Linked DNA regions of Nothobranchius furzeri. The protein of the gene in region 2 interacts with the protein of the main gene of each other region in a pairwise test. Links are inferred from orthologs where the notes say so. Each region holds a gene or a part of one and is shown on either strand. Other genes may lie near its edges.

Region 1 (10,784 bases), on a different chromosome or scaffold from region 2:
GGGACACTTTCTTTGGCCTGGATGTTGTCCAGCAGCAACTCCTTATCGGGTCTGCTGTGGCCTTGGCGGCAGGTGGAATTCTGGCATATGTCATGCAGAGGAGGAACAAAGCCAGATCTATCCCTCTTGGTGAAGGATGGTGGGGAGCAGGAGAGAAGACTCTCTCGGAGGATCACACGATCTACCCCTTTTCAGTGAAAACCTCAGATGAAGAGATTAAGGTGCTTGCAAAATACCAACCCAGTTTCTAACAACAGCAGCTTTAGTGTGAAGGAATCAGCTGTTATCTTGTTGAACAGGACCTCCATCGGCGCATCGACAGCTTCCGCTTCTCAGATCCTTTAGAAGACTGCGGCTTCAATTATGGCTTTAACTCCACTTACCTTAAGAAAGTGGTTTCGTACTGGAGGAATGAGTTTGACTGGAAAAAGCAGGTGGCGATGCTGAACAAGTATTCACACTTTAGAACCAAAATAGAAGGTACACACAGCTCCACGGGGTTCAAACGGGTTAGATTCAATGTTTTCTCTTGTAAAAACTTTTTCTGGTGCTGCAGGACTGGATGTGCACTTCATTCACGTGCGCCAGGCAGTCCGAGGGGACCAGAAGGTTCTGCCACTCATGCTCGTTCACGGCTGGCCCGGCTCTTTCTACGAGTTCTACAAGATTCTGCCCCTCCTCACCCAGAGCCAGGATGGAGTTGCATTTGAGGTCGTAATCCCCTCAATCCCTGGTTATGGCTTCTCAGAAGCCCCTTACAAACAAGGTAATTATGAATAACGTGTGCACACGTCTGCTTCTGCGGACAGCTGATGTTTTAGCAGTGTGCTTCCTGCTTCCTTTCCAGGATTTAACAGTCTGGCTGTTGCTCGGATTTTCCTGACACTCATGGAGCGCTTGGGCTTTTCCCAGTTCTATGTGCAAGGAGGAGACTGGGGCTCGCTTATCACCACCAACATGGCACAGATGAAGCCTGAGTAAGCACAAAACCAGCTTATTAGAAACCATGTTGCACATCGGCATGGCTGAGAAAGTTCCCTCAACTAAGCTGTTGGTGAAAGAGCTCATTGTAGCGTTCCTCAGCTGTGGAACCATGCTTCCACTGTGTGCAGATGATTACGAAGTCATGACAGCACAGATTCCCGAAGAACGGAGCTGATAACATTGTCCTGCCACAAGATCACATTTACAGCAGTAATTATGAGTCAGGAACCCAGAAAGCAGCTGTTTCACAATACTTCTGTTTTCCAGCTGTGTGAAAGGTCTCCACCTGAACATGTGCATGTCAACACGGGGGTTCAAAGTGCTGCTGTCTTTGATCATCGGCCCCTATCTGCCCTTCCTGGTGGGCTTTAGTCGGGAAGATGTTCGCCGGCTGTTCCCTTTCTTTGAGAAGAATGTCTGGGAAGTACTGAGGGAGAGTGGCTACCTTCACATTCAGGCCACCAAGCCAGATACTGCAGGTGAGGCTGTGAGACGGGCTCAAGACGACTTTTCTTATTTTCACAATTTAAAGGTGGGGCAGATGTTTGTGGAGCTTTTTTGCCATAATTGCTCTTCACATATTGACTTTAATCGCTTCTGAAACGTACAATCCTGGAAAAACCTCAACCAATCACTGTGACTGTCCCGTTGTAAAGGATGGGATCGTGATCCATCAAACTGCCCTCTGCACACTCCTCTTTCAGCTTGGAGCTCACGGACAGGAAAAGAAGCCAGGGCCGGGCTAGCTAGTGTGTCGAGTGGAAGTTTCCATTCAGGTTACAGTTCAGTTTAGTCTGCTTCTGCTGAGAAAGATTCAGGTGACAGGCTCGTCTGAGCGCAGCCTGTCCCGTCGACTGGCGGAGCCGTCGGTCACTTACCTCGGCTACGAGCACGCATTAAAAGCCGGCATGACAAAACAAAAGAGCGATTGGGAGGAGGATGTGGAGTTTTCCCAGATTCTTGGTGATAGTTTGCTGCAATGAAGCTAAAACTGTCACCATAAAAACTCCCCATTATGTTAGCCATCATACGTACTTGTTATATAGTTATGTAGGCGCCATATTAGAAATATGGCAGAAAAGGAGCCAATAGCAGTTCAAAAACATACAACTGATTCCTCAGGAACAAGTATGTGTGTTGCTTTGTCCTAAAGGCTCAGCTTAGAGGAAACACCTGAGGATGTTGGACCTTTAGAATTGTTTATTTTTAAAGTTGTTGCTTGACTGGCAAGAAAAACATCCTCATATCCGACCTACGAGTGATTTCCTTCTGTGTTTGCAGGCTGTGGGCTAAACGACTCCCCCGTGGGCTTGGCAGCCTACATTCTGGAGAAGTTTTCCACCTGGACTAAAAAGACGAACAGAGACCTGGTTGATGGTGGGCTGGAGAGGTACTAAAGATAGACATGCTTTAGTCAGTTGCTGCCCTCTGTTATGAACTAGAAATGTCTTTTTTGTACAGAAAGTTCAGCCTGGATGACCTTTTGACAAACGTCATGATCTACTGGACCACAGGCTCCATCGTCTCCTCCATGCGCTTCTACAAAGAGAACTTTAAGACCAACCCAGAGAGCCGAATCGATGCAAAGTAGGAGACCAAATGCTCACATCAATTTTAATCTCATTTTATAATTTCTCTAACGATCCCACCTTTTGCTTCAGGACGGGAATATTTGTGCCCACCGGTCTGGCCGCGTTCCCTCAGGAGCTGATGCACTGCCCCAAGTCGTGGGCACAGATTAGGTATCGAAACATCTGTTCCTACACGTTCATGCCAGCAGGTGGCCACTTTGCCGCCTTCGAAGAGCCCCGGCTGCTTGCGGATGACATTTTCCAGTTTGTTAAAAAAGTAGAGAAGCTCTGAAGACTTAAGCGTACTCCCGGTTTCATGCAGGTGTTTTAGTATTTTATTATACCTGATAGTCTGTACACCACATACACATCTTTTTTGTTCCTTTCCACGCCGCGAGTCTTATCGCTTGATTTACCACATTATTGCAAAGATGTAAACATGAACCAGACCTCGGCTCACCACTGTTCCCTTATGACTGAGGAAAGCTTTGTAATTGTTCAAGTTCTGTTCAGTAAAGGTATATTGCACTGACGTTTGTGTTGCTGCTCTTTTTCTACACCAGAAAAGTAATTCTCTAGAAATATAAACACAATCGCCCACCAGTCATGCCTCTTTAGGAAGCTTTCGCTCTGCATCAGAAGCTTTAAAAGGTAAGACACCACGACGGTCTGATGTAGATCTGCGTGACTTGAAACAGACAGAAAACGCACATGCACAGCTAAGTTTAATACTTAATTTGAACGCCCAATAAATTTGACCAGATTACACTTCTGGAGCGGTGATCCAAGATCAGACAACACACTGCTTAACTTTAAGGGTCGGTTGCTAAGCCCTTAATGGTCATTGGTGCTTGGAACCACACGTAATCCTGCCAGTCTGATCCGTCTGCCTTTAGCTTCTTACAGGCGCCGGGGTCAGTAGACAGGGCAATCACTTGCTTTTTTACCCGCGTTGGGACTTTAAACTGCATCTTAGGGCGGAACCAGTCCACACCACAATCCCTGTGGGCCAGCGCCAACACTGTGGTGGGCATTAAGCGAACGGGTTTGGTGTCGGACAAAAGGTCGGCGACAAAAAGAGTGCGGAACAGTTGCCTTAAGCATGACGACACTCGTAGAGGCTGACTTCCATCGGCCAGTACCAGGGCCTCCATGTTGATCTCGTATATCTCCTTGGGGAGGATGACCGAGCTGCCCATCAGCAGTAAAACACGGGGGATCCTGCTCAAGGAAAACAGCACCTCCAGTCGCTGCAGCACCTCCTCCATCTCCTGGAGAGTCTGATGGCATTTACGCCGGTCCTTATTGGCAGACTGTGCGAGCCTCCGACTCACTGCATCTTTATCCTGGGAAGCAGAACGTCCCAAGCACTGTTGGTTAATCTCAAATCTACAATAAATTCACCTGACAGTGAGACATTACATTTATGTATTACCTGTGCCGTAGTATGCAGCTTCTTCTGGGAATAGACCAGCTGGTCGTATGTCATGGGTAGCTGTTGTCTCTGATAGAGAATGCATTTGAGGATTTCGCTGACGAAACGATAGCAGCTGTTCTGAGTTACGGCTCCAGGGAAGGCCACGTCCACACAGCCTTCTTCCCGTGCTCGTCTCACCACCTCGGCATCATTTTCCTCTGTGTTAACTTGCTGATTGTTGGCAGTCTGATCGAAATCCGGCTCAGAAGGGTCCTCTTGTGCATTATCTGTCCAGAACCAGAATAAAGTTATTACAGAGCGTAATGGACCCGTCACGGTCAACGTTAATGAAATGTATCAGAGCCATTATTCAGATAAACCTGATGAGCTCACTCGTCTCAAAAACTAACATGAGGAGTGAAATCAGGCTGTGGAGGAAGATTACTTTTGATTCTAATCAGATCAAATCACTTACAGAGTCGCATCTTATTGAGATTTATGAGACCTGTGCTTCAGCAGGACTCAAATCTTTTAAATCACACAATCACAAGACCCAACACACCACCACATTGTGCTGACTCATCTCCACTAAGGGAGTTGATCTTAAATGCTGAACTCTTTCTGCAACCAGTGTCAGAAATGTGTACGAGTGTCCTTCCTTTAACTTACTCCAGTCAGGAGGAGCAGAGTCATGCAGCGGGACACCTTTAAACCCCACAGGAAGTGCTGTGTCAGCCATGAAAAAGGAGTTACATCAATGTGACAGATTTCAAAAGAATCTGCATGAGCAATTTTCAATCCTCTTTGTGGCTTTTGAGTCACAAATGTTTCCAAATGCGATTCAAGGAAAAATGGTGCAAGATGTTTGTTTTTGCTACTAAAAAGTCAAGATGAATATGCAAATGTTAACATTTAACAAGTCACATTTAACTGAGTTTTGCAATTGTGGTTTGCAATGCACGTGGCAATTTTTTCCTAAATAAAATGTTGAACTGCATCACATGACACAATTAAAAATCTGATATTTAATTCTTAGTAAAAAATGTGCAAAAAAGTTTTTTAGATTTGAAAACTGACCATCTGTTGGTAAATATCCTTACAATTTTTGGCATCTTTAAAAGTAAACCAGGAATCTAAAAACCACATTTTAGCAAAAACAACATCTTACAATAAATGCATTATTTATTTCTTCATTTAAATAATTCCAAAGTTTACATAAAAGGAAAACTAGGTCCACTAATTCTTGATGTTGACTCTTTTCTCTAGTTTTATTTTTAACATTTAGGTAACCAATAATGAAAAGAGCCTTAAATGAACATAAATGCGTCAGGTGTAACCACGCAGACTGATGGATGACACGTAAGCTGAGGTAATGCAAATTAAAGAGAAAGAACATTGCAAACACAGCTTAAGGGACTTTTGAGGTAAACATCTTATTTCAAATGAGACGATCCTTAAAAATAATCTAACTACAACAACCGTGCTGAAAATTCAACGGTTCTACTTGGTGCTTCTCATGTTGTAGTTTTAATATTTAACCCTAACCCTAACTGGTTTAGTGAAATAATCATACTTTAACAACTTGTATCTTTCTAAACATCTTGTTTTATGTTTCTCTTGTTCTGAAATTACCCGATCCATCTAGCCGTGATCACATGTATATTTTATTGGCGTTATTGGGCACATCTAATGTGGTCAGTTGCATTTAGTTTTGTCCACAAGCAATAATTTGAAATATTATGTTGACATCTGACATCATCAGGCGTTACCTACTGATCAAACTGACCGGCACAAGCTTATTTTAAGTTGATCAGGAAACAGTTTGGGTATGAAACCAAATATAGCTGCACATTAGCCTAAACGGATCAAAAGCAGGAAAGTAAGCTAACTCTATGCTACCTGCCTTGAGACGTGGTTGTGGGAACAGCAGCATTTTCTTTGGCTTCAGTAGAACTCCCTCTGCGTTGTTCTGGACACTCTTCTCTTATTTTACCATCATTTTTCGTCTCTGAACATGTGTCGCTGGCATCAGACGGGAGTCGTTCAGCTCTTCCCTCTGGCTGGCTCCATGAACTGGAGACGTTGGAGACACTTTCCGCACTGCCGCCTAAAGGCGTTATTTCGGGTTCTCCATCAACGCTAACATCCTTCTGTGGTGAAAACGAGAGCCGTCCCTTTATCCCGCCACCCGTGGTGTCAACAGCGGTCTCCGTTTCTGTGGCCGCCGCCGAGACTGATGTAGGTTTTGAACAAGTAGAATTATCTGCCATGTTTTATTTTTGAAAGTCCGCGCCGGTGTTTTCTCGCACTGCATCATGGGAAATCCAATAGATGTCGCATTCAAGCTACGTAGCACAAAATCGGAAAAAATAAGCTTCCCAACGCCACTCTGGTGTTCTTACAATAATTTAACTATTCTTGTTTCATTTATTTTACTTCTCAAGAAACGATTTATATCATCATCATATTTTGGGTTCACACAAAACGTTTGTTGTTATTTGACAGCCCTTCTGTTTCTGGTAGCAGCTGCAAGGACTTATAATGCCTTTTTAACCTATGAATTGTGAATGCAGGACATTTCAGATATTTGTTTTTTGCACACTACAGATTCAACCACGTGTAATATTACCAAACGACAGTTTCGTCAATTGGAAACCAAACGTTTTTGTTATAAGTAAATATTTATGAAGTGATGTATTGTCTGATCTTGCCCAAGGCACATTTAAACGGAGAACGTGCTTGAGACACCCTCTAGTGGACAGTTTATGCACTGCATCGACAACGTGAGGATCAGTTCCAGGTGTGATGATTAGATTAGGTGGTAACAAACAAGGACAAGGTTTGCTTAAAACTCTAGCAACGGGACGTTGGCTCTTCGTCTGTCTGGTTTGATTAATAATGTCTTCAGTTCAGGTCGCGGTGAGAGTGCGCCCTTTGAACAAAAGGTCAGTAGAACAGAGTGACTTATTATTTTAACAGGAAAACAGAAAACAAACTTTTGCACGGCTTGTTGCAGAGAAAAACAGTTGTCATCAAAGGTGATTGTGCATATGAAGGAGAACACCGCATCCATTCATAAGGTAGGCTAGACCGTCACAGAATGAATTCTACTTGAGTTCATTTGAGTGATTTTTTTTTTATTTCAGCCTTCTTCTTTACGTGGAGACAAGTTGAAGGACAGAGGCAAAATCTTTTCTTTTGACTTCTCTTTTGACTCAACTGACAGTAAAAGCTCCACGTTTGCTTCCCAGGAGAAGGTGCTGTCTGTGTTTCATCTGTTTAACTCTTATTTGCACCAGTGTTGAACCACTTCTTGCATTTTATTTCTATAAATGTGTAAAATGGATATTTTACACCTGTTTCAGATTTTCCAGGACTTGGGATCTGATGTAATAAAAGCAGCTTTTGAAGGTTTCAACGTCTGCTTGTTTGCATATGGCCAAACGGGCTCAGGGAAAACTTACACCATGATGGGACATAAGGTAAGTAAAATACTTGCAATATGCATGCTGAACACTGCAGCGTAACGGCAATATTTACGACTTCACAACAATCAGTGCTGTATGCATACCTCTTCTATTATACCTCCGTCTTTACTCTGCATGTGATGACCTCTTGCCACTTTGGACCCCAACTGAATGCTGCCTCATTAGACTAGCTTGTTCTTCCTCACTAGTCAGAATTTTTGATGAGTGCAGCAACACACACACACACACACACTGCACTAGGGATTTTACACTAGGAGGTTTCTGCTTGGGGGACTTGTGCAAGGTCATCAGCAGAGTTGCTGTCAACATCAGAGATAATTATATAACTTAATGCTTACTGTCTGTTACTTTGTAATTAAAAACAAGAGGACGTACTGCTCCGGCTGGGATTGCTTTTATGCTTCACTACCTCCACAGCTGATGAGCTGCTGTTGTTCAGCGGTCTGTGTGTGTGCTGAGTCGTGGTTATGGCATGGTGTAGACAACCAGATTAACTGAAGTATAATAGGATCGAAATGTAATTGTCATTTCAGTGCGAGCTTCGTCTATTTCAGCGGGTGTAAAGGCAGATGTCTTCTCAATTTTAGGTGGATAAAGGTTTAATTCCACGGATCTGTGAGGGCTTGTTCTTGGAGTTATCCAACAGAAGCAAAACTGAGACTGTCTCATTTCACACGGAGGTCAGGTAAGGCCGTATTATCGTTGCCTTCTGTTCAGCATTCGTTGCTTCTTCAAACCTGTTGTGGTGATCAGTTTCAGTGGATATTCAACACATTTATGGAAGGATCCGTCCATCCATTTTCGTCCGCTTACTCATGGTTGGGTCCCGGAGGAATTGGCCTAAGCAGGAGGCCCGGACCTCCCTCTCACCAGCCACTTGGATCAGCTCCTCTGGGGAAATCCCAAGACGTTCCCTGGCCACCTGAGGCATAGTTCCTCTAGCGTGTCCGAGTCTTCCTTTGGGTCTTCTCCCAGTAGAATGTGGCTGGAAAACTTCACCAGGAGGCCTCTTAACCAGATGGCCCAGCCACCTCAACTGGCTCCTCTCTGTGGAGGAGCAGCAGGTCTACTCCAAGCCCCTCCCGGATGACTGAGCTTCTCACCGCTCGTATCCACAATCTCGTTCTTTCAGTCACTACCCAAAGCTCGTGACCACATTCAGAGTGGGAACGTAGCTCGACCGGTAAATCAAGAGCTTAGTCTTCCGGCTCGGCTCTCTCCACCACAGCAGATCGGTACAACGCCCGCATCACTGCAGACGCCGCACCAATCCGCCTATCGATCTCCCGCTCCATCTTTCCCTCACTCGTGAACAAGACTCTAAAATACTTAAACTCCTCCACTTGAGGCAGGACCTCATCCCTGGCCTGGAGAAGGAATTCTACCCTTTTCCGACTTGTGGGCGGATGTGAAACGATAAATTTAATGTCCCATATTTAGTTTTGTACATAAAGAAACGATAAAACCCTCAGAATAGTGCAATGTTCACAAGAGGCATCAAATCAGTATTTATTTACTAAAATGACATATTTAATCGTAGCCAGAAGAATCAGACGTGATGAAGGCACGTTTGCCATACATGGAGAACTCTTCAGAGGTTTACCGGCCAGGATTACATGCAGCCTGTGCGCTGGGCCCAGACACATGGGCAGTCACATTTTTTAGCTGTTTAATGAAACTTTAACTATGTGGTTGTTTAATCTCCACCCTGTTCTAACATGACGCTAAATCAGAGCTGATCTGGACTGTTTGCCCTAAACGATCTGTGAACTTCTGAGAAAATCTGAAGATTTAACCTGTAAAGAGTTCAGCCCTCTGGACGAGGAAGAAAAAATGTTCATGCACAACACATCACTTACCGCACACAGCACCTGTTTCTACAGAGAAAACCAATTCATGATGCCGTCATCTCCCCCACACTTCAGCCCCATGAAATATTTACAGAACGCTGTGAAAAGGTAAATCTAAGACAAGGATGTCATTTCTGAAGCAAGACCTGAATCTTCAAATAAAAGGTAGACGGGAACATTTCACCAAGCTGGCTGAGACTGAACGGTGTAAAAGCAAGGCTGCCTGACCCATTACTACCACTACTACCACTACTGCTTTCCTAATTGTTCAGATAAAATTTTTTGACAAATTTGATGCCTTTGATAATTTAGTTCAGTGCTAAATAAGGTACTTTGTCTATATTGGCTTCATCTTTTAATAAAATTTAAACTATTTTAAGATGTTTAATACAAACATTGAATTGTCTTCAGTTTTATAAAAAAAGGGGGAAATTCAAATTAAAGTTGTTCCTTAAACTAATTTATTACGGCAAAAATCACCTCTTAGGTTAAAAGCTGGAATTTTTAAAGCAACACACATATTTACTAGGTCTCTAAGACCCGGTTTCCACATATGTGGACGTTGATGTCCTTCACTAAACTTTTTTTATTTTTAGAGGAACTTTATTGACTTAAAGAAAAAACATTTTAAAGCTTAAATTTTTTTCCAGACGTTTACAGCAACTTGGAGCGGCCACCCACACAAAATAAATTGGAGCGATATCACGTTCTAACATAGCTTTATAATTTTCACATTAGTACAATGTACTATCGCGTTCTAACAATATAATATTTATATTGTATAAATGTGATTATTATAATATTGGAACAATAAAGCAAATGTGATATTACTCCAATTTTATTTTGCATGGGTGGCCGCTCTACGCGGCTGCAGAAGTTTGTCAAAATTAAGATAAAAAAAACGTTTTTGCATGTTTATGAGAGTCGACTAATCTGTAATGCCTACAAGTGTTTTTTCTTAACGCACACCAAATACAAATTCGGGACTTGGGAGGTAAAATAAAACAAATGAACACCCATGCAAACGTTATTGCTTCTCCCAGACATTTGCAGGCTTATATTTTTATTTGTGGTATAATTTAAGCATGTACGTTTATTTATTTAATTTTCCTGATCTTTGTTTCCTAACATTCACAAAAAGTCAGTAAAAACCCTATTTTAATCCTGATTGAGTTCTCAACAGTGTTGGAAACATCCATAATGATGCATGCATGGCTACATCCACCAGATGCATTTCTTTGTTTACGCCGTTAATTCTTGCACGGTCCTAATGCCTAATTGTTTGATTCCTTTCATTGTTTCTGAATTTGTGACTCTGATTTAGTCACAGCACAAACCAACAATGGTTTTCACTGAACCTCGCTGCCAAGCCTATTATGCATGTAATTGTTTATTTGTTGCCAGAACAACCAACTTTCAAATTTGGCTTTAAAAAGTAACTTGTTTCCATTTGATGCTCCGCCATTCAGTCAGA
Region 2 (11,065 bases):
CTTGAACAGAAACATTCGTAGTTAATCTATCGTCTTGTTTTCCTCGTTAGACCAGCCGGATGGGGGACGTGACTTCATCTGAGCTCGGCCTCCCCTCCTCGGACCAACTGGACCTGCAGCACTCTCCGAGGCATAATCAAGGATACCCTCTACATCTTAATAAAGATTTGCTCTTAATAAGAGCTTATTTCTGGAAAGCAACTGTGCATATTCATGTGCATTAAAATACAACCACAGCTGATTTTACTGTTTTTGTTTTTTAGGAATCTATTAGAAAGGTCTTCTTTTAAGATGAAATATTCTTGTTTATGCCTGCTCGTCTCCAAGCTGAAGGGGTTCTCTCTGAAGGATCATTTACGATTACTTTAGTTCCTTTTTAAAGGCACTTATCTGTTTTACTTTTATTCTTCTTGGTTTGTTTTCAGTCACTGTTCACTAACCAAAAAGGAAGGAATTACTTTTAACATATCTGTATACAATGGCAAAACTTGCATCTTTACAAAGTAAAAATAACCTTCAGTGTTTCATTTTTAACATTTTCAGTCTTACTGCAGTTATTCCTGTTCTGCCAGACGTAATATCATCCAGTGAAAATGTGTTCGATTTCCTCAAGACATGATGCCACATGCGTGTATTTCCGAAAGGTTATCCAGGTACGATGACCCACCTTTAGTCAGGAACTGGTTTAGACTTTATTTTTTAATGATTACATTCCTGTAGCTTATTTTTTTGGTAGAGGTTTTGAGTGTTTCAGGTTACTGTTATTTTAATTTGATTTTTCTGATGAGAAATGTCAGTAAAAAGATGCTGATGGCTGTTGGTATGTGTGTGGAATGTAGTCATCCACATATTAATGTGAGTGCACATTAAAGGAAAAGTATTTGGTCTTTTCTTGCATTTTTCCTGTCTTTTAATTTCCTGTGCTTTTTTTTATACCTTGCTGCTAGAACAATCCTGACCCCTACAGTAGTTCAAAAGATCCGCCTTTCAAAATAAAGCCCGCATGTTAATTGAATTTATACGCTTTTTTTCTTACGTTTGCGCCACTGACACTCATTTGTGACAATCTTGTAAAAAAAAAAACTACCTACTCAACGTCTGAGCACGTTTTTCTTGATGCAATGTATCTAAATTACGTCTAGCAAATAACGCTGATACCATTTTTTCTGTTGTGTGTTTATGGTCCACTGCTTTTAGCATAGATTATAGTTTTTTACGTTTCCATATACATTTTTTATGGTTTCATATACATATTTTTACGGTTTCATATACATTTTTTACGGTTTCATATACATTTTTTACGGTTTCATATACATTTTTACGGTTTCATATACATTTTTTACGGTTTCATATACATTTTTTACGGTTTTATATACATTTTTTACGGTTTTATATACATTTTTTACGGTTTCAACTACATTAACGTCTGAAATTTACGTCTGTGTATAAGTTTTTATTTTGAAAGCACAAAGATTGTCTTCCGGATCCGGGGCGGGAACAACGCAAGCTACTGTACTCCTGTAGCAGCGGCTGCAGTGCTACTGTACGTCTGCTTAAGTGAATAAAACTACTAAAGAAGTCCTACTAAAGCTCGCCAGGTAGTGTGTGATGAAGCTCCTCGCTAATGTTTAGCCTTTGTGGGTTTTTGGAGTTTAAAACAAGGAGAAGTTTGGTTTGGTTTGCTGCGCAATGCGCCGACTAGCACTGAGTCACCAGAGCTACGAGAATAGCAACTGGTAGTGGTTTAAGTATCTAGTTTACCGGAAACAGAGACTTACTGCGGGTAACTCGCCTATCGCATGTCTCTGTTTTGTAGCTGTTATCCCAGCAGGTGTGCAGGTGATGGGGAGAGTGAGGAGCAGTCAGACCCCCATCATCCGTCACAGCTGAGGATGGAGAAGGACCACAGCGAGAGGCAAGACTTCCGGTAGGATGCTCCCTCCGTGTCTAACACGGAATGAAGTACTCGAACCTTTATTTTACTGTTTTTGTGATTTAGGATCCAGGGACAGAGCTACAGGTAGAAATAAGGGTTTATAAGACCGACCAGCTATCGCCCAATTTCTCATTAATGTTGATCTCAAAATAATTTGTAAAGCCCTGGCAAAAAGATTAGAGAAGGCAACCCCTTCATAATACACCCTGACCAAACTGGTTTCATCAAGGGTAGACAGTCATCCACTAACTCACGATTACTTAACCCTTTAGGCGCTATAGTTTTTTCAGTAAAATATGAAATTTTTATATCACTGTCTGTGAAGGTTCTCAGTCATCCAGGTCATTGTAGTCTAAAGCTTGGTTTATGCTTGATGCGTTCACTTTCCGCTTGGTGATGCGGCTCGCGGATGGAACGCGCTTCACAACTCGCAGCGTTTATGGTTCGTGCGGCTCGTCTCTGCGGCGAGCCAATATTCTCCCAAACTGTAGGGGGCAGCATGGAGCTCTACGGCATGCATCCAACACTACACCATAGTAGAAGTAGAAATGACTGTTTACAACATGGCATTCCAGCATTTTTAACAGCGTCCTCGTCTTTTCCGACAGTGCGAGCTATTTCTCTCCAAGAATTATTAACAACATGTTGATCACGGTGATCTCTGAGAGCTGAATCATACAAATGTCTGTATTTACCAACCTCTGCCATACTAGTTCTTGCCAGTCCGCCATGTTTTTCCGCGTCCGTCCGTCCGCGTGGTTAGAAATTTTCCGAGGTGCGCGTTGCGGAAATCTTGGGCCGTGCGGAGACGCGGTGGAGGGGCGTGGTTGTTAAAATGACGCAACTTTTCCACGCGGAGCCGTGCGGACCTCGCGGACGCGTCAAGCATAAACCAACCTTAAGGAGCTTTGAAAGAAAAGCGTCTGGACTTCTTTGAGTTGCTTGAAGACGTTTCACCTCTCATCCGAGAGGCTTCTTCAGTTCTAAGGTCAAATGGTGGAGAGTCCCAGATTTAATCCCAGTGGGAGTTTCCCCCCGAAGAGGGAACAAAAGACCCCCTGATGATCTTCTACATAAACACATGAGCCCAGGTGTGAGGGTGGGTGTGGGTCCTATTCAGCCAGAGTTTCGGGTGAGCTCATTGTGAAGCCTGGCCCCACCCTATCATGTGAATTCCTGAGGTCAGATGGCCCAGGATATGCGTGGGCGTTGAGGCATCTGGGAAGGGATCTCAAAACTGGATTATAGATGGCAGACAGTTGGTGTCGTAAACCACCGCCTCTGTTCAAAGATGGTTGCTCACAGTGGACATAAATGGCTTCCTTTACTCCTCTTTCAAACCATCTGTCCTCTCTGTCCAAAATGTGAACGTTGGCATCCTCGAAAGAGTGACCTTTGTCCTTTAGATGCAAATGAACTGCCGAGTCCTGTCCCGTGGAGGTGGCTCTTCTATGTTGTGCCATGCGCTTGTGAAGTGGCTGTTTGGTTTCTCCGATGTAGAGGTCTGGGCATTCCTCGCTGCACTGTACAGCATACACCACATTGTTCAGTTTGTGTTTAGGAGTTTTGTCTTTCGGGTGAACCAGGTTCTGTCTGAGTGTGTTGCTGGGCCTGAAGTACACTGGTATGTTGTGTTTGGAGAAAACCCTCCTGAGTTTCTCTGATACACCGGCTACATAGGGGATGACCAGGTTGTTGCGTCTGTCTTTCTTATCCTCCCTCGCTGGTGTCTGGTCTTCTTTTCTGTGCATCTTTGCTGACTTTATAAACGCCCAATTAGGATAGCCACATGTTTTAAGTGATTCCTTTATATGTGTGTGTTCCTTCTTTTTCCCTTCCGGCTAGGGATGCACCGATGGATCGGCATTTGATCCCAATCGGCCGATAGCGCCCCTATCGGTTTTGAGTGGAGTTTTCAAAATAGATCAAAGCAGACCGATCAGGTAGGGTTGTCACGGTAACCGGTGTAGCGTTAAACCCCGGTAAAAAAAAAAGTTGACAATAATAATAACCGTCTTGTTTTTAAAGAACTATATTATCTTGGTGGGATTACTGTGGCTGCGGTGTAGGCGCGGTGACCCTTACCAGCCACCGTATCATCTGCTGAAGTTGCCGGCGGCACATGCGCGCTTTGTTGTTTACAACCAAAACTTTCTTGAAGCTAAAGCTGAAATAATGGCCAAAGGAGGAGACGGCAGCGCTCAGGACATTTGTTATCCCTCAAAGAAGACAAAGTGGGAAGTACGGGCATCTTTTGGATATGTGAAGAATGCCGAGGGACAGTTGATAGAAGACGGCTATCCTGTTTGCAGCACGTGCAGAAAAAGTGTCTGTGAAAGGCAGCAACGCTTCAAATCTCATGACACATCTGCGTGACCATCACCCACAACTCTACAGTCAACGCAAGGCAAGCTAACGTTAGCGTTTTAGCTAAAATGCGTGATCCGAGGATTTGGGTTGAGGGACAAGGGTTAACCCTAACCCTAACCCTAACCCTAAAATAAAAAGAAATAAGGGTTTATAATGGGTTCTTGTTGAGACCAAGACAGAACCTCAGGTTGTTTGTTTATTGAGCCGTTTGTGAATTATTTGTCAGTTTCTCTTTAAAGGACACAAACCACAGCTGCGCTTCACAAACTGTATCTCATTTTTGTCAGGATCTACAACCCTAGTGAGGATAACACAGTTTAGGTAGTGGATGGATGGACAACACTATTTCTTCTCAGCAACTTGAGAACAGTGGACCAGTCCGTCTCCTTTGCTGTATTCATCAGTAACCGAGTCACCAGCTCAGCAGTTTTTCTTCTTTGGATCACCTGAACGCATCAGAAGCTTTAACTCATCTGTCTGAGCCAAAGTAGTAGCAGATCTGTGTGTATTTAGATTTAGTTTACATATACATGTATTTCTGAACAGTCACCTGTTTGTCTGATCGTAAAACACGCTTTACATCGTCCGCATTTGTCAGAGGTTAGGGTTAGGGTTAAAGGTCCCTTCCTGTAAGCTCCTGAACAACCTGATTATCTGCCTGTGGAGCTGAATGTGCTGCTGGACTGAACACAGTGCTGCGTTTACCAGACTGCTGCATTCTAGCTGGTGGATTATGTTGCTTAACGGTGCAGCTCTGAATGGGATTTGCCCTAGAAGAACAAAGTCTTGCTGTTCAGGCTGAAGAAAGAGCAGTTATGAGCTCAGCAGCTCACCCGGGACAGAGAGTCCTTTACGTTCACACGAGGAAGGTATTTTCTCAACTTTTAACCGGCCTATTGTTGAGATGTTTCACAAGCAGATTAGAAGCTATTTTAGTACACGAGTCCAAGTTTCCCAGTTGCTCTGAAACTCTGCCTCCCGAACCCCAGAGCCTGGACTCTCGTCTCCTCATTCAGCCAGCTGGTTCCACACGGGAAAGGATTACCGCGCCTCAGCTTCTTGTTTTATTTGCGATCTCTAGCGCATTCATAAACTAATGGTCTCTTCAGGGCTGTGGTATTCAAGCAGGCAGCTGAACCCAGTGGAGGTGACACCCTGAGCTGGTATGGATGATGCCAGGTGGCTGTTGGGTTCTGTTGGACGCGTCCGCAGCAACACCCTTTCATCCGATGCCACACAGTCAACAGGAAGTAAACTGGCTCTGTGCCATCAGCTCAGCCAGCTCATGACCTGTGTGGACGATCTGGACCCCAAAACTGAGCTGCATGAGAAAATGGTCAGGACCCTGGACAGCGCCTTCCTGGTCTGCTCGAGACGAGCCAACAAGCCAAAGAAGGACCGACTCAGGTGGAGGATGCTGCAGCTTCTCACTCGCCTTTCTGCTGAATCTAGAATCGGTCTCCTTCTGGACAGTGTCTGTGTCCAGACTGGTCCTATCACACTGTGATCAAACCTCGTAATTGCCTTCTGGAGCCTTCCAGTGGACGTGACTCTTTAGTCTGTTGTTCATTAGTCTAACGGATGTGGGTTTGAGTCTGAGCTGCATGTTACAGCGTTGTCGCCCAGGAGGGATTTTCTTGTTATTGTTTTTTCTGAAGTGGAAGAGGCTTTGGTTCCAAAGCTAACGCAGCAACAAATGTGCTGCACATGGGTTGTAACCATGTGACTATGGCTGTGTAATATACATATGTGCACATATCATGGACGTTTATTATCCTGTCGTATGAAACAGAACAACCCTGCTGCAGTAACTCTTGTAGGTGCTCTTAACAACCAGAGAAATGAGGTGTTTACCTGAAAGCAGGTGGCGGTCAGGAAGGAAGACCAGCAGTATCTAGCTGGTATATTTTCAGTTGATTCATCTGAGCTTTTCCAGCTTAACCCCCCCCCCCCCCCCCCCCCTGTCTCACAGGCTTCACCTAGTGACGTGGAACGTGGCCACAGCTGATCCTCCAGAAGATGTGGCTGCTCTTCTTCACCTGAATTCACCCAAAAGAGCCGACCTCTACGTCATCGGGTACAGACGAGTTGTTTTTTATCTCCAGAAGTGTCTCCTGCATCAGCGACTGGCCTGACGGTCAGATGTGTGTTCAGTCTGCAGGAGGTCTACTCAGGACTGCTGAGGTTTGTGTCTGATATGATGTTCGATGACCCGTGGACTCACCGGTTGATGTCCACCTTAGCTCCGCTGAATTATGTAAAGGTACGGACACACACCATCTCACGATCAGTGTGTGTTTCTGTGTGTGTCGTCTCAGGTGTGCATCTGTGTTTCAGGTATCTTCTATCAGAATGCAGGGTTTGGTGCTGCTCTGCTTCTCTAAACTGGAGCATGTCCCCTTCATCAGAGACATCCAGACCACCTACACACGCACAGGCATCTTTGGCTACTGGGTGAGCAGAACACACACACACGAGAGGGAGAGAGAGAGATCAACCTTCTTTCTGCTCAAGGATTTTACCTTTCAAGGTCAACCTCAGGCGTCGTTTTCGAGCAGATTGCCCTCTGTCATTATTTATTAAATTAAAACCAAACCAATTAGTAAAAGCTGGTCCCTCTGAAGATCCGCGGCTGCTGATCAGACGTGCGGATTATGAGTTCCTCCCTCAGGCACAGAAGCAGGAGGTGTTTTAATCAAAAGCTGTGTGTGAGTTGGTCTGTATGCTAACAGGACGTAGCTTAGCCTAAGAGCTGACGACAGCATTGCAGAGTGTGTCTCTTGTTTGGTTTTCAGGGTAACAAAGGTGGCGTGTCTATCCGCCTGTCCCTTTATGGTCACATGGTCTGCTTCCTCAACTGCCACCTGACGGCTCACATGAACTATGCCACAGAAAGAGTGGATGAGTTTGAGTACATCATGGACTCGCAGACCTTTGACTGTAAGAAGGCGTCGAGAATATCTGATCACAGGTGAGAGCACGCACAAGACTCAGACTGTTCTGTATGGATGTTGGAGTAAAAGCTGGAACGTCCGCCCGTTCTGGTCAGTCGTTTGGAATGCCGTAGCTGTCCTGCTGCTCGATCTGAAGGACTCTGACATTCCCTGGCCAGCTGAGAGGGAAGAGCTGGAAGACTTACCTAACTGGAATAATGAAGTGAACGCTGTTTAGTAGGTTTAATTGGGATGTTTTGCTTCCTAAAGCACCTTGAGCCCCATGAGATGTCTAAGCTGCAGCTGTTCCACACCTGCTTAGACTCTATCAAAGCCTGGATGGTGGGAGCTTTCTTCAGCTGAATGAAGATAAGACTGAGATCCTCATGTGTGCCCCAGACAAGCTGGTTCCCAAAGTCAGAGACTCTCTTGGTCAGCTTGCTTCTCACACCAAACCTTCTGTCAGGAATCTTGGCGTGACCTTTGACCCAGCTCTCACCCTGGATTCTCATGTCAGTTCTCTTGTTGGCTCTTCCTTCTTCCATCTCAGGAACGTTGCTAAGCTGAGTCCCATTCTGTCCCGCTCTGAACTTGAGACAGTTCTCCACACCTTCATCTCCTCACGCTTAGACTACTGTAACTCTCTTTTCACGTGTCTGAGCAGAACCTCCCTGAACCGTCTACAGGTGGTTCAGAACGCCTGTGCTCGGCTTCTGACCAAGTCCTCCAAACACACCCACATCACCCCGCTTCTCCTCCAGCTTCACTGGCTGCCAGTCAACTTCAGGGTTCATTTCAAGATCCTGGTTCTGGTCTATAGGGCCTTACATGGACAAGCACCATCTTACATTGGTGATCTTCTCAGTCCCTACACCCCCAGCAGGTCCCTGAGGTCCAGTGATCAAAGCCTACTGGTTGTGCAGCACCAGGCTAAAGGTCAAAGGTGACAGATCATCTGCTGCTGTGGCCCCCAGACTCTGGACCTCTCTCCCCCTGAGCCTGAGATCAGTGGACTCAGTGGTCTCCTTTAAAAATCAGCTGAAGACTCACTTGTTCAAGCTGGCTTTGTTTTGACCTTCTTCACCTCTCTCTCTTTATTCTGCTCTCCCCACCTATTCCACCTTCCTCAGGATCCACTGATTTCCCTCTTTCCTGTTCACTCTCTCTCTTTCTTTACATTTTTAATCACAATTGTCTATTTTTGCTCATTTTAAATATATTTTAACCATTTTCTAAATTCTTTTTATATTTTTACATTTGTTGTTTTTGTGAAGCGCCTCGTGATTTTTATCTTGAGAGACGCCATAGACATGATATTTTCTTCTTCTTCTTGAGATGACTTGTGTTGTGAATTGGTGCTGAAGTTGAACTGAACTCCACCTGAGGCAGAAGCTCATTTCCATCCTTTTCCGTTTGGTTGTGCCCATCTCACATCTTTGTTCAGTTCGTTTAAAAGAAACTTTTTTTAATCCTTTCATCCTTCTCTCGTCTTTGTGTCCAGACTGGTGTTCTGGTTTGGAGATCTGAACTTCAGGATACAAGATCATGGCATGCACTTTGTCCGCTCCTGCATCAACAAGCAGACCTACAGCCTGCTGTGGAGCAATGACCAGGTTTGACCTCTGGAGTGTTTTTGTTAGTGGAGGAATGCTGGTGTCCTTCATCAACGCTGATTGATGAACATGAGAAAGTGTGCTTGATGACATTTTCAGTTGATCATGTTGAAGAAGAAAGAAGCGTTGCTGCAGGACTTTGAGGAAGGACCGCTGGACTTCCAGCCCACGTACAAGTTTGACTTGAACTCTGACACCTATGACAGCAGGTAAGAGTTGGAATCTTTTTGGGAATCCGAGTCTTTTAATTCTGTTTCTCTGAGTTTATTTATGTTTTCACCTGTTTTAACTCCACAGCCTCTACAGGACATGGTTTGACTTGTAGTAAGACCAGAAATACATTCATCTCCCTTAACATGAGCATCCAGATTTGTTTTACCTAACAAGACTTCAGCATGTGCATTTCCTCCTCCTCGGCTAACAGAAGTCTCTGATGGCGTTAGCGTGAAGCCTTAGTTCTGCTTCTGCTTCTAAAACAGGATTCTGGTAGCATGCTAAAAACTAAAAGGACAAGCAGGCAGGATTAACAGCCAGTCTTCAGCTTGGCTTTGCCCACGAAGACTAAAATGCTCGTCTACAGACTGGCAGCTAACGGGTGTCCTACAGCTGGTGAAGGTGTCCATTAGAGTCCGGGGACCCTACATAAAATATGGGTGTTCATATGTCCTATGTACTAAAGCTGCAATGGCAAATCAGCAAAACAAGCTAGCTTTTAAACGAGGTCACAGAACACTCACTCCTCCCATCGGCTATAAAACCCTTGGCTGTGTTCGCCTGAAATTAGAACCTGCATTTCCAGAGGAAACGAGGTGGCGCTAACACCAGTCGCCGTTTTCGATGCCCGCAGTTTCTCTGGTAGTTTGTCCTAAAGTTGAAGTGGTAGCAACCACTCGGCCGCTGTTATTGAGTGGAGAACCTCTCACACCGGTGGTGTTGCCAAATACATGAGTGTGTGATGAGTGGAGGACCAGGGGAGATGTGGTTCGGAGAGACCCACGACCAGACGGTCCAATCGTTGCTTTTTTGACAGAGCTGTGTTATTGGCTGACGGTTGTAGACAAATGCGAGGGAACCACTTCTCTCATTTTTTTGTGTTTTTTAAAGCTCCACAGTAAATGTATAGCTGTGCTATTTTAGAACATTGTTAAGAGACATGAACGCATGTTGCTGCTTCCTGAGTGTTTTTGTACAAATGTAATTGTACAACTCTGAGAACTTCCTTCAGCAAGTCCAACGGCATTAACAGGTTCTGGTTCTTGTATCAGGATTTTACCGGGGGCGTTTTTTAACTGCCACTAGGGGTCACTGTTTCATCATAATCTGAAATGACCATTTCCACATCTAGGTGTAGCACAACTGAACATCTGTTAGCAGCTGCTGCTCCTGTGATTTATACAACCTGACTTTGATCATATTAAACAGACAACATTAAAGGAAGTAGTAAGTAAATGTTATTTCTACAGCACTTATCACAGACAGAGAATCACAAAGTGCTTCACATAGATCAAAACAAAATAAAATCAAAATGCTCTAGAAACAGAATTAGATTAACATCAGAAAAAATAAAGACATAACATCATAAAATTTCATAAACAGATGAAAGATTAAAAATTTGAGCTAAAAATAAGAAAATAAAAGGTTTAGGTAAAAGCAGCTTTAAATAAAAGGGTCTTTAGCTGTTTTTTTAAAAGTGTCCAGACTGTCAACGCTGCGTACGGATAAAGGAAGATCGTTACAGAGTCGGGGCAAAACAGTCTGGAAGGAGCGACCACCTCGACTTTTATATCTGGTCTTTGGAACTTCTAGAAGGTTCTGGTGTGTGGACCTGAGGGCTCGGGTTGGAGCATAAGGCTTTAACAGTTCAGTAATGTAGGGAGGAGCTCGACCACGTAGAGCCCTGAAAGGTCTAGTCAGGACTCTAAAACGGGTAACCAGTGCAGAGACATCAGAATAGGAGTGATGTGAGTTCTTCTGTTTGCTCCAGTTAGGAGCCTCGCTGCAGAGTTCTGGACCAACTGAAGGCGGTCAAGGACTTTTTTGTTAAAACGTGAAGAGTGTGTTACAGTCATCTAGACGGGAGGATATAAAGGCATGGAGAACCATTTCAGGTTCATGTTTTGACACCAACCTTCACAGTTTGGAGATATTTCTTAAATGATATAAACTGTTTTGGACCAATGTTGTTGAGTGACCTTCAAGAGACATACAATCTT

The links. The genes of interacting proteins can lie anywhere in the genome.
Region 1: the proteins of inpp5ka (region 2) and mad2l1bp interact in binary tests that used the Homo sapiens proteins (3 or more experiments, as listed by UniProt). The link is inferred for Nothobranchius furzeri from reciprocal best matches to the Homo sapiens genes INPP5K and MAD2L1BP.

Annotation. Positions count from the first base shown.
Region 1 is NC_091752.1:314,001-324,784, forward strand, and holds mad2l1bp (MAD2L1-binding protein), read right to left. Parts: upstream 6,284-10,784; 5' UTR 6,243-6,283; coding exon 5,876-6,242; intron 4,260-5,875; coding exon 3,991-4,259; intron 3,902-3,990; coding exon 3,368-3,901; 3' UTR 3,265-3,367; downstream 1-3,264. Other genes in the region: ephx5 (epoxide hydrolase 1), read left to right, coding at 2-221, 300-480, 557-766, 848-977, 1,252-1,463, 2,266-2,374, 2,446-2,571, 2,646-2,847; uncharacterized protein kif16bb, read left to right, coding at 6,871-6,917, 6,989-7,052, 7,119-7,229, 7,338-7,454, 8,048-8,145. UniProt on the Homo sapiens protein: May function to silence the spindle checkpoint and allow mitosis to proceed through anaphase by binding MAD2L1 after it has become dissociated from the MAD2L1-CDC20 complex.
Region 2 is NC_091753.1:62,183,025-62,194,089, reverse strand, and holds the start of inpp5ka (inositol polyphosphate 5-phosphatase Ka), read left to right. Parts: upstream 1-5,247; 5' UTR 5,248-5,471; coding exon 5,472-5,713; intron 5,714-6,278; coding exon 6,279-6,383; intron 6,384-6,460; coding exon 6,461-6,569; intron 6,570-6,643; coding exon 6,644-6,760; intron 6,761-7,101; coding exon 7,102-7,277; intron 7,278-8,740; coding exon 8,741-8,852; intron 8,853-8,951; coding exon 8,952-9,061; intron 9,062-9,149; coding exon 9,150-9,176; intron 9,177-11,065. UniProt on the Homo sapiens protein: Inositol 5-phosphatase which acts on inositol 1,4,5-trisphosphate, inositol 1,3,4,5-tetrakisphosphate, phosphatidylinositol 4,5-bisphosphate and phosphatidylinositol 3,4,5-trisphosphate.